Linked DNA regions of Mus musculus. The protein of the gene in region 1 purifies or fractionates together with the protein of each later gene. This does not show direct contact. Links are inferred from orthologs where the notes say so. Each region holds a gene or a part of one and is shown in the gene's direction. Other genes may lie near its edges.

The links. The genes of interacting proteins can lie anywhere in the genome.
Region 2: the proteins of Zfp219 (region 1) and Cdk2ap1 purify together in Homo sapiens (affinity purification with mass spectrometry; 3 studies listed by BioGRID and IntAct, counting the BioPlex papers as one, with this or other methods). This does not show direct contact. The link is inferred for Mus musculus from reciprocal best matches to the Homo sapiens genes ZNF219 and CDK2AP1.
Region 3: the proteins of Zfp219 (region 1) and Chd3 purify together in Homo sapiens (affinity purification with mass spectrometry; 3 studies listed by BioGRID and IntAct, counting the BioPlex papers as one, with this or other methods). This does not show direct contact. The link is inferred for Mus musculus from reciprocal best matches to the Homo sapiens genes ZNF219 and CHD3.

Annotation. Positions count from the first base shown.
Region 1 is NC_000080.6:52,008,156-52,010,733, reverse strand, and holds part of Zfp219 (zinc finger protein 219), read left to right. Parts: exon of another isoform or gene 1-675; 5' UTR 676-758; coding exon 759-764; intron 765-1,071; coding exon 1,072-2,506; intron 2,507-2,578. UniProt on the Homo sapiens protein: Transcriptional regulator. Recognizes and binds 2 copies of the core DNA sequence motif 5'-GGGGG-3'. Binds to the HMGN1 promoter and may repress HMGN1 expression. Regulates SNCA expression in primary cortical neurons.
Region 2 is NC_000071.6:124,351,829-124,356,068, reverse strand, and holds the start of Cdk2ap1 (cyclin-dependent kinase 2-associated protein 1), read left to right. Parts: upstream 1-1,440; 5' UTR 1,441-1,697; coding exon 1,698-1,752; intron 1,753-4,240. UniProt on the Homo sapiens protein: Inhibitor of cyclin-dependent kinase CDK2. Also acts as a component of the histone deacetylase NuRD complex which participates in the remodeling of chromatin.
Region 3 is NC_000077.6:69,366,627-69,370,876, reverse strand, and holds the start of Chd3 (chromodomain-helicase-DNA-binding protein 3), read left to right. Parts: upstream 1-1,450; 5' UTR 1,451-1,485; coding exon 1,486-1,741; intron 1,742-1,798; exon of another isoform or gene 1,799-1,887; intron 1,888-3,156; exon of another isoform or gene 3,157-3,318; intron 3,319-4,250.

The DNA of each region.
Region 1 (2,578 bases):
TCCCTAGACTGGTAGTGCCCCTTAACTTCCAGGCCTCCCCCCAACTCTCTTCATTCCCTCTGTAGCTGGCTCTCCCTTCACGCCCCTCCCCCTCTGTCTCCAGACTCTGCTGCTGGGAGGTGTTTCTCTCCCATGCATGAATGAGTCTCTGTAATGAATGGAAATGAATGGATCAGGAATCCAGGAAGGGGGAGGGGGAGGAGGAAGACCAGAAGACTGGGTGCCGGCAGAAGCTAGGAGGAGGAACCTGGAGGGCTTCTGGCTGGCTGGCCCTGGTCTGAGAGGAGCTAGTACCATTTGGATAACAGGAGTATGGCTAGCCCTCCACATTTGTTTATCCAGGGGCACAGCCCAACGCGAGTGGAAGAGGGGTATACTATGATGGCCTCCCACATTGTGTGTGTGTGTGTGTGTGTGTGTGTGTGTGTGTGGTGGCGGCGGCGGTTCTGGACTAGGTGTTTAAAACATCATTTGGGGGAGGAAGTCTGTATTTATCATACAAGTTGGCAGATGAAGGGATGCAAGTTTTGAGGACAGCAAATAAGAAGGCTGGAATACCCCAAGATCACAATAGGAAGAAGGGATGGGTTTCAAGGATACAGGCTGCTAAGTGGGGTGACTCTACTGCCAAAAGCCAGGGCTCATCTTTCCTCCAATCGCTCTGTCTTGTTTTAGCACCTCCGCACCTGTTGCCTTCATTAGCAGCTTTTCTTCTTCCTCCTTCCAATCCTCAGAACCAAAGAATGTGAAGGGGGTCCATGGAGGTGAGTGAAGTTCTGTCCTTGACCTGCAAAGTGCCTTCAGCGGGACACCCTCTCCTGCCTCCTTTTTTGTTTCTTTGTTTTTTAAACTTCGTATTATAGTAGCATACGTTATTAACTTGGCCCCGGTGTCCAACTTCCACTCATCCCACAGTTTCTGGAGGTGAGAGGTATCAAGGTACCTAGGTTAGGTCCCAATCTCCCAACCTCCATACACACTCTTCTTACTGTTCTTCGTGCCTTTGCATTTTTCTACATTCTACAGGGTGGTCTTTTCCACCCTGTCCTCTACGTGCATCTTTCCCCACAGGGCTCACGTCCCCGCATCCTGGTCGGCCACCTAGAGCCTTCCCCACCAGCCTTCGACGGCGAGCTGGATCTGCAGCGCTACTCCAACGGACCAGGTGTCAGTGGGACTCCAGGACCCGGCTCGCCTGGGATGGGAGCAGTGGGTTGGTCTGAGACTCGTGCAGGCGAACGGCGCTTCCCTTGTCCTGTGTGCGGAAAGCGCTTCCGATTCAATTCCATCTTGGCTTTGCACCTGAGAGCCCACCCGGGCGCCCAAGCCTTCCAGTGCCCACATTGCGGCCACCGCGCAGCGCAGCGGGCTCTGCTGCGCTCACACCTCCGAACGCACCAGCCGGAGCGTCCACGCAGCCCTGCTGCACGGCTGTTGCTGGAGTTGGAGGAACGCGCCCTGCTTCGCGAAGCCCGACTCGGGAGAGCCAGAAGCTCAGGCGGCATGCAGTCCAGCCCTGCCGCAGAGGGCCTGGCTCGCCCTCAGGTCCCTTCCTCATCTGCCTTCCGTTGCCCTTTCTGCAAAGGCAAGTTTCGCACCTCAGCGGAGCGGGAACGCCACCTGCATATCCTGCACAGGCCCTGGAAGTGCAGCTTGTGCAGTTTTGGCTCCAGCCAGGAGGAGGAGTTGCTGCACCACAGTCTGACGGCCCACGGGGCTTCCGAGCGCCCCCTGGCGGCTACATCTACGCCTGAACCCCCGCCTCCACCCCAGCAAGAACCCAGATCTGCCCTTGAGCCTGAGCCTGAGCCTGAACCTAGGCCAGAGCCTGACCGGGAGGCAAACCCTGCCCCAACTCCTGCACCTCCGGAGGAGCCCCCTGCGCCACCTGAATTCCGTTGCCAGGTGTGCGGCCAGAGCTTTACACAGTCCTGGTTTCTCAAGGGTCACATGCGCAAGCACAAGGCCTCCTTTGATCATGCGTGCCCCGTATGTGGTCGCTGCTTCAAGGAGCCCTGGTTCCTTAAGAACCACATGAAGGTGCACACCAGCAAGCTGGGTCCTTTGCGTGCTCCAGGCCCTGGCTCTGCACCTGCCAGGGCCCCTCAGCCTCCCGACCTGAGCCTACTGGCATATGAGCCACTGGGCCCTGCACTCCTCCTGGCCCCAGCACCCGCTCCGGCTGAGCGCCGAGAGCCCCCAAGCCTCTTAGGCTACCTGAGTGTACGAGCTGGGGAAGTACGACCCAATGGTGAGGGTGCTGACCCTGGAGGTGGCCGAAGCTATGGAGGGTTCCGCCCACTGCCTTCAGCTCTTCCCAACCGGGCTCGGCGACACCGTACAGAGGAACCAGAAGAGGAAGAAGAAGTGGTGGAGGCTGAAGAGGAGAGCTGGGCCCGAGGCAGGTCGCTGGGCTCTCTGACTTCCCTGCACCCCAACCCAGGTGAGGGGTCAGGACAGCCTGCACCTGCCGCGGGGACCCAGGCGAGATCCACGGCCACCCAAGGTATGTACACACTATTTTCTTGGGGGGTTGTGGCATTTGGTCCTCGAAACTTTGTCCCACACGCCTTTTCAG
Region 2 (4,240 bases), on another chromosome or scaffold:
TTTGTGTATTCATTCATTATGAATTTAAATTGTCCTGTTTTAGGTCCAGTTGTGTTAAATACATTACTAGAATTAATTTTATGCTACGTTCTGCTTTCAAAAATTGATTAGTGAAACATTTAAATTTATGTATGTGACTTGCTTTATATATTTTTACCAGCCATTGTAGAATGGGTAGCATTTGTTTCTTTATAAGAGAAAAATGTCACCAGGAAGCAGTTTGCCAGAAGGAGCCTAAGGGTGCTGCTGGTGGTGGTGGGGGAGGGTGGAAGAGGAGGTCCCCTCTTCTGCACCTTTCGTCCCAAAGAAGGGGGGATTAAGACCCCGGTGGTGGTCCCCTTTTTTTCTCTAGCGGAGAGGCTGACGCCGTTGTCACCAGATCCACAGATGATGTCTAAATATGACTAATTAAAAAAAAAAAAAACCTGCAAACCATGGCGATTAAAAACAACAGAAAAAGGTGGGCGTTTTATGTAATGTGATGAGCATTACTATGCAGGCAGAACTCCAAAATATAGTACCTTTGGAAGGTTATTCATCACATCCCAAATACGTTTGGTTGTGACGTTTCAGTCAGTTTAGAGATGGGCGGGGGCGTGTGTGGGGCGGGATAGGGTGGGGTGGGGAGGGGAAGAGGGGTCCAAAAAAAAAAAAAAAAATGGAGTGCAAACTCCGGGGAGTCGAAACTTTGCCAAGTTCACTCTTGCCTCCTTAGCCTATAAAAACCGTGTCGGGCACACAGTAGGTGCTCGGTTGAAATATTCCAAAGAGTTCGTGTGACAAACGTCATGACGGATGCAAGAGCGAATTTTCTAGTGGAGGTGTCGTTGTCTCTCCATCCAGCTTTTGTCAGTCTCAAAGGCGTCTTGGGTTCCCAAAGGGTTAAAAAAAAAAAAAAACAAACTCACTTAATCCAAGCAGAGACATGACATTTTTTTTTTCCCCGTCTCGAAATAAATGTCAAGAATGGGTTATTCTAATTCTGGGATAGAGCCAGACGTGGGCATCTGGAATGATTTCCGTGAATTAAAAAAAAAACAAAAAAACAAAAAACAACAAAAAAAACCAAAACCAAAAAGAAAAAGAAACCCAAAAAAACCAAAACCAAATCACCCCAATCGCCACCATTTTCTCCAGGTAATTTTCCATCCCTGCCCCCACAGTCAAGAGACACTGAGAAGAAGAAGAAGGAAAAAAAAAAGTACTTCTTCCATCCTCCCTGGCTGTTTAAGAAAAGAGGAAGGCGCGGGCCAATGAGCGGCGCGCGGGAGGCCGGGGCGCGGCGGGGGCGCCGCGGGGACCGCAGCCCCCCAAACTTTGGCAAGTTGCGGGCGGCGGCGCAGCGCGGGGCGCGGCCGCGAGAGGAGCCGCCCCCTCGACGCCCGCCGCCCCCTCCCGGTCCGGCCCCGGCCCAGCACCGACCGGCTGGGCTCAAAGTTTGCGGCCGCCCCTGCGCCGCGCGCCCGATGTATGGGTGATCTACTGCGGCGGCGGCGGCGGCGGCGGCGGCAGGGTGAGGGACGGCCATATTTGCCGGCGCGGCCCGAGCCGGCGACAACAAAAAGTGCGCGGGCTCCCGGCGGGCGCTCGGACGGCTGCGGGGACGTGGGGCCGCCCGGCCCGGGCCTCGGCCTCGGCCTCGCCGGCGCGCTCGCGGCCTGGCCCGGCTCTGCCCGGCGCGCCCGCCGCCCGCGGGGATGTCGTACAAGCCGAACTTGACCGCGCACATGCCCGCCGCCGCCCTCAACGCCGGTGAGTGAGAGCGAGCGAGCGCGGGCCGCGCGCGCCGCCCCGCGCCGCAAGTGTCGCCAAGTTGGGGGCTCGCGCTCCGGGCCGCGGCCCGGGGCTCCCCGGAGGCGCGCGGTGCCTTGGGCGGGCGTGCTGGCCGAGGATGGTGGCGCGAGGGAACGGGGCGGAGGGAAGGAGGTGTCCCGGGCCGGGGCAGCGGGAACGCCACCGCCGCCGACTCAGCCGCGCCGCCGCCGCCATGATTCCGCCGCCTCCGCTGCGCTGCCAAAGTTCGCGGTGCGCCCGGAGCTCGGCGGGGCAGCGGCCGGGGGCTCCCGGTGTGAGCGGCGGGGCGGCCGCGGATGGCGGGGAAGCGAGGACGCGGGCAGCCGAGCGAGGAAGGCTCCCCCCCCCCAGCTCCCCCCCTTTTTCTTTCCCCTTCCCTTAGGCTTTTTGGGCGGCTCGGCGAGGGCCCCTGCCGGCGGGAGGCGGGCGACGCAGTGAGCAAGGAGCGGGGCTCGGAGGGTCGGCGGAGCGGGACAGGCTGGGGCCGAGCCGGGTGCAGGGCGGCCGCGGGCCCGGGAGGGAATCTGGCCAGGGTTCCGGGCGGCGGGCCCGGTGGGCAGGGGCCGCTTCCTGGCGATGAGAGCGACTCCCGGGTTCCTTCCCCCGGCCCTCGGGAGACCCCTTGGAAGAAGTTGCAGTGCCCCGGCCTCGTGGGTTCTGTGGGCGGCATGCTGCGGCTCGCCGGTCCCGGGGGTCCCCATCTCAGATCTCCCACGTGGGGACGTCCCCGCAGGGCCGCGCTGCGCAAGCCAAGTGGACCTGGTCTCCCTTCCCCTCCGGGCCTGGGCGCCGCCGAGGAAACTCTTGCAAAGTTCCCAGGCAGCTTTGGGCTGTGGCTGGGGGCTAGCCCCGGACCCCAAGGGAACCCGGAATAGGGATGTGAAACTGACTTCCAGAGGTGACTGGCTTTGTGTCCAATTCCAGTACCCTCTCCTCCCAGACATTTGGCTGTGAGCAGACCACCCCAAGTAGTCTGATGCCCCAACAGATGCCAAGTAGTGGGGACCAGGAGGGATAAGGCCTTTGGGAGGAGTTGGGGGTAGAAGTTGGTTATGGTCGCTGTGTGTTAAAAATCCCACCCGCGTTGGCACTTCCAAGTTGGAGGTCTTGTGTCCAAATGTTGATTCCAGAACTCCAGAAACCCTCAGAGGGACCTGGAAAAGCTCTGGACGTGTGTTTTAAACCACTTCTCTGCTCTTTGGGGTTTGGAAAAGGTTGAGATTTAGGGTGCCAGCCTGGGAGAGTTGAAACGCTAGCACGTGGGCACAAAGACCCCCCCCCCCCAAGAGCATGCAGTCACTGTATCTTTTCAAATGGTTTCACTCCCTTTGGGTGACAGGATTTGTCGTCAGATATGATTTTTGCCTCTCAGTCTTCTTGGTCAGTGTTTGGGATGGAAGGGCAGTAGGTTGCGTTGCCAGCCCTAGGGAGACCAGAGACGTAGGCTTGATCTGGGCTAGTTTCCCGTGTGTCTTACACTGGGGACCTTTTGGGGTGTGGGTCCCAGTGCAGACCGCCCCTGGGACTCTGAAGCCCTGTTCTGGGCTTGCTAGCACCTGTATTCAGCTGTAGTTATTTTGCCAATGGGGAATGCCAGGATGCGTGCGGGGGTCTCCAGGTGTTCGGCATTTTGGTGGGGGCCCGCCCGCTTGCCGGTATTACTTTGCAGAAAGCCCTTCTCTCCCCTGCCATCTGCATCCAAGATGGACTCTCACAGTGGCTCCTCCGCCTTCCCTGTCATCATCTCTCACGCCCTCCAGGCCTGCCTCCTGCTCACTGAGTTGCCAAGCTGCGGCCTGGCCGGCAGTGGCAGTGGCGGAGTTAGACAAAGCCCCCGCCTTCCCCCGCCCGAGAGCCCCCCCCCCCCAGGGCGCCCCAAGTGGCGGGAAGGCCGCCAGCTCCCCAGGCCCAGGCCGCTCTTTGTCTGGCATGGGGGCGGGGAGCTGAGCCTGGCCCCAGGAGCTTCCTGGCCTCTGCCAAGCCCTCTCAGCTCTCTCACACTGCGCTCATTGTCTGAGATGCTCCACACCGGCTGAGCTGACGTGGAACCGCCTCCCTGGCCTCCTTCAGCCCAGGTGCCGGTGTCTTCCGGAAGAAGGGGGCATGATGGGCGGAGGAGCCCCCTTCCACCCTGAATCCCTCCCGGGGGGTGGGGGAGACAGACACCTTCCCTAATACTGCATATGGTGCTGGCTTTGACGCAAAGTCAGGTTTATCTCCACTCCTCCGGGGTGGTGGAAAATAGGCTTGAGGTCCTCCACCAGTATGGGGGGTACTTCTCATTCTTTCTGTATCCCCACTCCTCTAAGGGCATTCCCAAAGCCTTTAACCCTTCCATTGGGAAATATGGCCTCAAACAAGTAGAGAAACTGAGGCCTGGAAGAGCCTTGGCTGGTCCTACAGCCAAGTGGCACTGCTGGGACAGACCCCCAAGTCCTGGAGAAAA
Region 3 (4,250 bases), on another chromosome or scaffold:
TGGAGGAAGAGGCGTTCGATGACACAGGAGAAAAGAATTTCACAATCTTCAGATCCGACCCTCTCCTCTTTCTCCTAAAAATCTGACCTAGTCACCACCAAATTAATTTCTCAAGTCAGACGATTTTACAAGCAAGCCACTGGAGGAGAGGAAGGGAAAGAGTAGAGATAAAATTGACAACATTCACAGAACACTGAGGGCTGGGCAAAGGAGAGAATCAAACATGGACTCCTTGGAAAAAAAACTCAATCATCTATTCATATCTCTCCCCCCAAAGTCACTAGGATTTCTGTCACTTTTTTTTTAAGGAGAAAAAAAAAAAAAGCCAGTACCATTTCTCATTTAAAAGCTACGTACACAATTAAATGCATTTTGACTTCAATGAGGTATGTAGAGAGTTATATATAAACATATATTTCATCTTTTTCCTTTTCAATGCCTGAAGGAAAAAAAAAAAAAACCTTCACATCAAACCACTCCCTTCTGAAGTATTCAGAAAAAAAAAAAAAAAGCTTTTCTTTAGAGAAGGGAGGTGGGGGGAGGAAGAAGACTAGTAAAGAAAAGAAAAATTCAATCTAGTTGGACTAGTATCTAACTAGTTAACCTTTAACAATTTATGCTGATGTCAGACTGAGCATGAGTACTGATTAATACCCCCCCAAATATTTTTATAAGGGGGGGAGTTAAGTCACAGCAGCCATTTTTGTTTTATGCAGAAATCCTTCATGCCCCCCAACACACACACACACACACACACACACACACACTCTCTCTCTCTCTCTCTCTCTCTCTCTCTCTCAATACACAAGGAAAATGTATTAATCTGTGCACTAATCAGTTATGAAAAAAGGGAGAAATTTGTGGGTTTCTGAGTAGAAGCTTGGAGATTGGATGTAACAGGGAGAATGGGGGTGTATGAAAAATGAAATATTAAGCCAGCCATTTTGTTTTAAAAGGGGATTTTACCCCCCTCTCTCTTTCTTTATAGAGGGGGGTGGCAGTGCTGGAGGGGGGGTTGTTTTAAAAATAATTTCAAGGCGGCCATCTTAGTGCCTCAGCTCTGAGAAATATTTCTGAGCGCCCCCCTCAGAATTTAAATATATTTAAAGCAACCGAGGGGGGTAGAGAGAAGTCGAAAACTTTTATATACATATATATAATTTTTTTTTTTTAAACGATCTCCCTTTCTTGTTCTCTTGGGAGGAAAGACAGAAGGGGGAAAAAGTCCTTAAATTTTTCCAAGAACATTTTTGGGGGTGGTGCGGCCCCCCTCCTCAGACGCCGGCCCCGGGGGTGGGTGTTCTGGAGGGGGGTGGCCCGGGGGTTTGGGGGGCTGGGGGAGGCGGTGAGGAGGAGGAGGAGGAGGACGCCGCCGCCGAGGAGGAGGAGGAGGAGGAGGAGGAGGAGGAGGAGGTGGTGGTGGTAGCGGTGGGGGAGGCGGGCGGGCGGTGGGTGGGGGGGTGGTGGGGGGGCCAGAGCCACAGGATGGCTTCCCCTCTGAGGGACGAGGAGGAGGAGGAGGAGGAGATGGTGGTGTCGGAGGAGGAAGAAGAGGAGGAAGAAGAGGGCGACGAGGAGGAGGAGGAGGTGGAGGCGGCCGACGAGGACGATGAGGAGGAGGACGAAGAGGGAGTACTCGGGCGCGGGCCGGGCCACGACCGGAGCCGCGACCGCCACAGCCCCCCCAGCTGCCACCTCTTCCCGCCGCCGCCGCCGCCGCTGCCGCCGCCCCCGCCACCAGGTAAGCGTCCGTCCGACTCCCCGGGGCCCGAGCGGAGCCGCGGGGCCCGGCACCTACGGTTCGGCCGAGCCGAGGAGAGTCCCGGGCGCCTGGCGGGTCTAGACGGGCCCGGCAGTCCGGGCGGCGGCGGCCTTGGGGCCAGGCCTCCTCCCCTCCCCCGCCGCACCCCTCCTCCGCCGCTACCGCGGCCGCCGCCACCGCCGCCGCCGCCGCCGCCGCCGCGCCCGGGCTGGAGAGCGCAGGGAGCGAGCTGCGCGCGCGGACCGGGCCACTTGGTCGCGGCTTTCGGGGGAGGAGATTTATTTTTTTCACCCTCGGCGGGGAGGGGGTAGGCAGGAAACGGCCGTAGCGAAGCCAGGGCCCCCCTCCCAGGCCGAGCGAGGGACCGCGGAGACCCCGGCGACCGGACGGCGGCGTGGGGGGAGGGGCGCGTGGGGGAGGGGCGGCCGCGTGAGCGCCCCTTGGGCCGGGCCCCGGTGGGGTCGGACTGAAGCCGAGTGGGTTCGGGGTGTGGAGCTGACTGCCACCCGACGCCCTCCGCTGGGGACTTGGGCAAGCAGAGGTGGGACAGTGGCCCGCGGACCAGCCCCTCCACCTGCAGGGACTTCGGTGCCCGCCAACTTAGGGGTGTGCGGTGGCACGCGTGGGAGGGGGCGTGCGAATGTTTGTAGCGGCTGATGACCAGAGGCAGGTGGTGGCCACACTCCACGCAGACCACTTCCTGGAGTAAGACTTGGACATACCGTCCACTCCCCCCTAGCTGGCCGCCGAGGTCTCGGGTCACCTCAGATTTGAAGAGAGACAGGAGAATGTCTGGGGAGCCAGATGCCCCCGGCCCCACCCTCGTCATCTCTGCCCCGGGCTCTTTTGTGTCAAGTGCAGCCCCCATCCCCCCCTCGTGACCCCGTCAGTCTGGGGTGGCCGAACTGCCCAGCTGTGACTCTCACGTGGCTGCCATTCACTGTCACTCTCTTGATGAAACCACCCACACACCCTGACCACGTTGGGGGGCGTGAACTGCCCACCCAGCTGCTCTGTCCTGACCATCATCACTCAGCACCCTTCTCCGAGATGACAAGTCACCTGCCACTGGCGTAGGACGTCCAGCTGTGCTTGGGACAGACCCTTCTCTGGATCAGTGGCGCAACTCTCAGACCACCCTCCAAGTGGAGAGTGATTTCTAGCTTCTTTAGGATAGGTGTCGCCAACCTCTGATTGGGGACATCCACACCCCCAAGTCTCTGGCGGCAGAGCAGCACACACACACCAAACTTTAAAACGTTATTTGTAAAACTGTCTTACTGACCACTGTGACTTTTTGTCGCACGTGTTGAGACAGCTTTTCCGGGGGTGGGGGGTGTTAAAAATAATGTGTTTAATGCGTATTGGGTAAAGCCTCACCCCTAACCTCGTCAGGTTTACCTGTAAAAGAGGAAAAGTTTAGAAAAAAGTTATTCCAGCGAGCCCTCAGGATTCCCTTGGAGTGGGGGAAGAATTAAAGATCCTGAGGAGAGAGAGGGCTGCCCGCAGGGCTGCCTGCGGCAAGGTGTGAAAAAGAGGGGAGAGGGGCTTGTCAGGTGAGTTAGGGCGTCGGTAACTCTCGCCTAACTGTTCTGAACTCCGGATCTGGTTTTGATCCCCGGCACTGGATGCCTGTAAGAGAGGAGAATGAACGAGCCTAAGGTCGAGATGGGTCTTTGTGTGGCGTCCTCCCTCCCCCCTTGCTTTTGAATCCTTGAGAAGCGTCAAAAGCTTTTGAATTTTTATGTTTGAAATGAAATCTCACCTCCTCTGTCTCCCTGGGCAATTTCATCCCCCTTCCAGCCCTCCAAGTCAAAATGACCCAGATACACCCCCTCAGATGACTTTCTGAGGTAAAACTTTCGGAAAATATTTTTAGCGTACTCATTATCCGTCTACCTCAGTGTGGGGAAAAATAAGTCTCCTCTTAAGGAGCTCTGTTCAGGCTGCCCGCCCTCGTCTCTTTCTGGAATATGAATTTGTACTCGTGAGAGCCTTCCATTGTTTTTCAGTGCGACTGCTTTGATTCTCACCATTTTTGTTTTACATTCTTACCCAAGACCAATTTTTATCCCTTCCCCCATCGCGCCAGTCTCCTTACATTGTTGAACGTTTAAAATAATAGCATTCGTGTTGGTGGGGGAAGGGAGCAGGAAGCTAAAGAAAAAAACCTCATTTCTTCTCCCTCCCCCTTCTGGCAAGTCTAGAGAAATAATATAACATAATATATAGATGTGATTCCTTGGGGGGTGGGGATGGGGGTGGGGAAATGATTGTGGGTGGTGCGGAAAATTCTGGTAGTTTCTTTGCAAAAGGTCTGAAAATACAAACCCACCTCCTGCATTCAGTACGCATGTGCAGTAGACCTATTATGGAGGTTCGTTGTGGGGGAGGGAGGGGAATTTGAGAAAAAAATAAATATAAGTGTGAGAGATTGATGGCGAGATTAGGAGAGAGGGGCGGGAGCAAGGCTCTTGCCCAGGCTCCT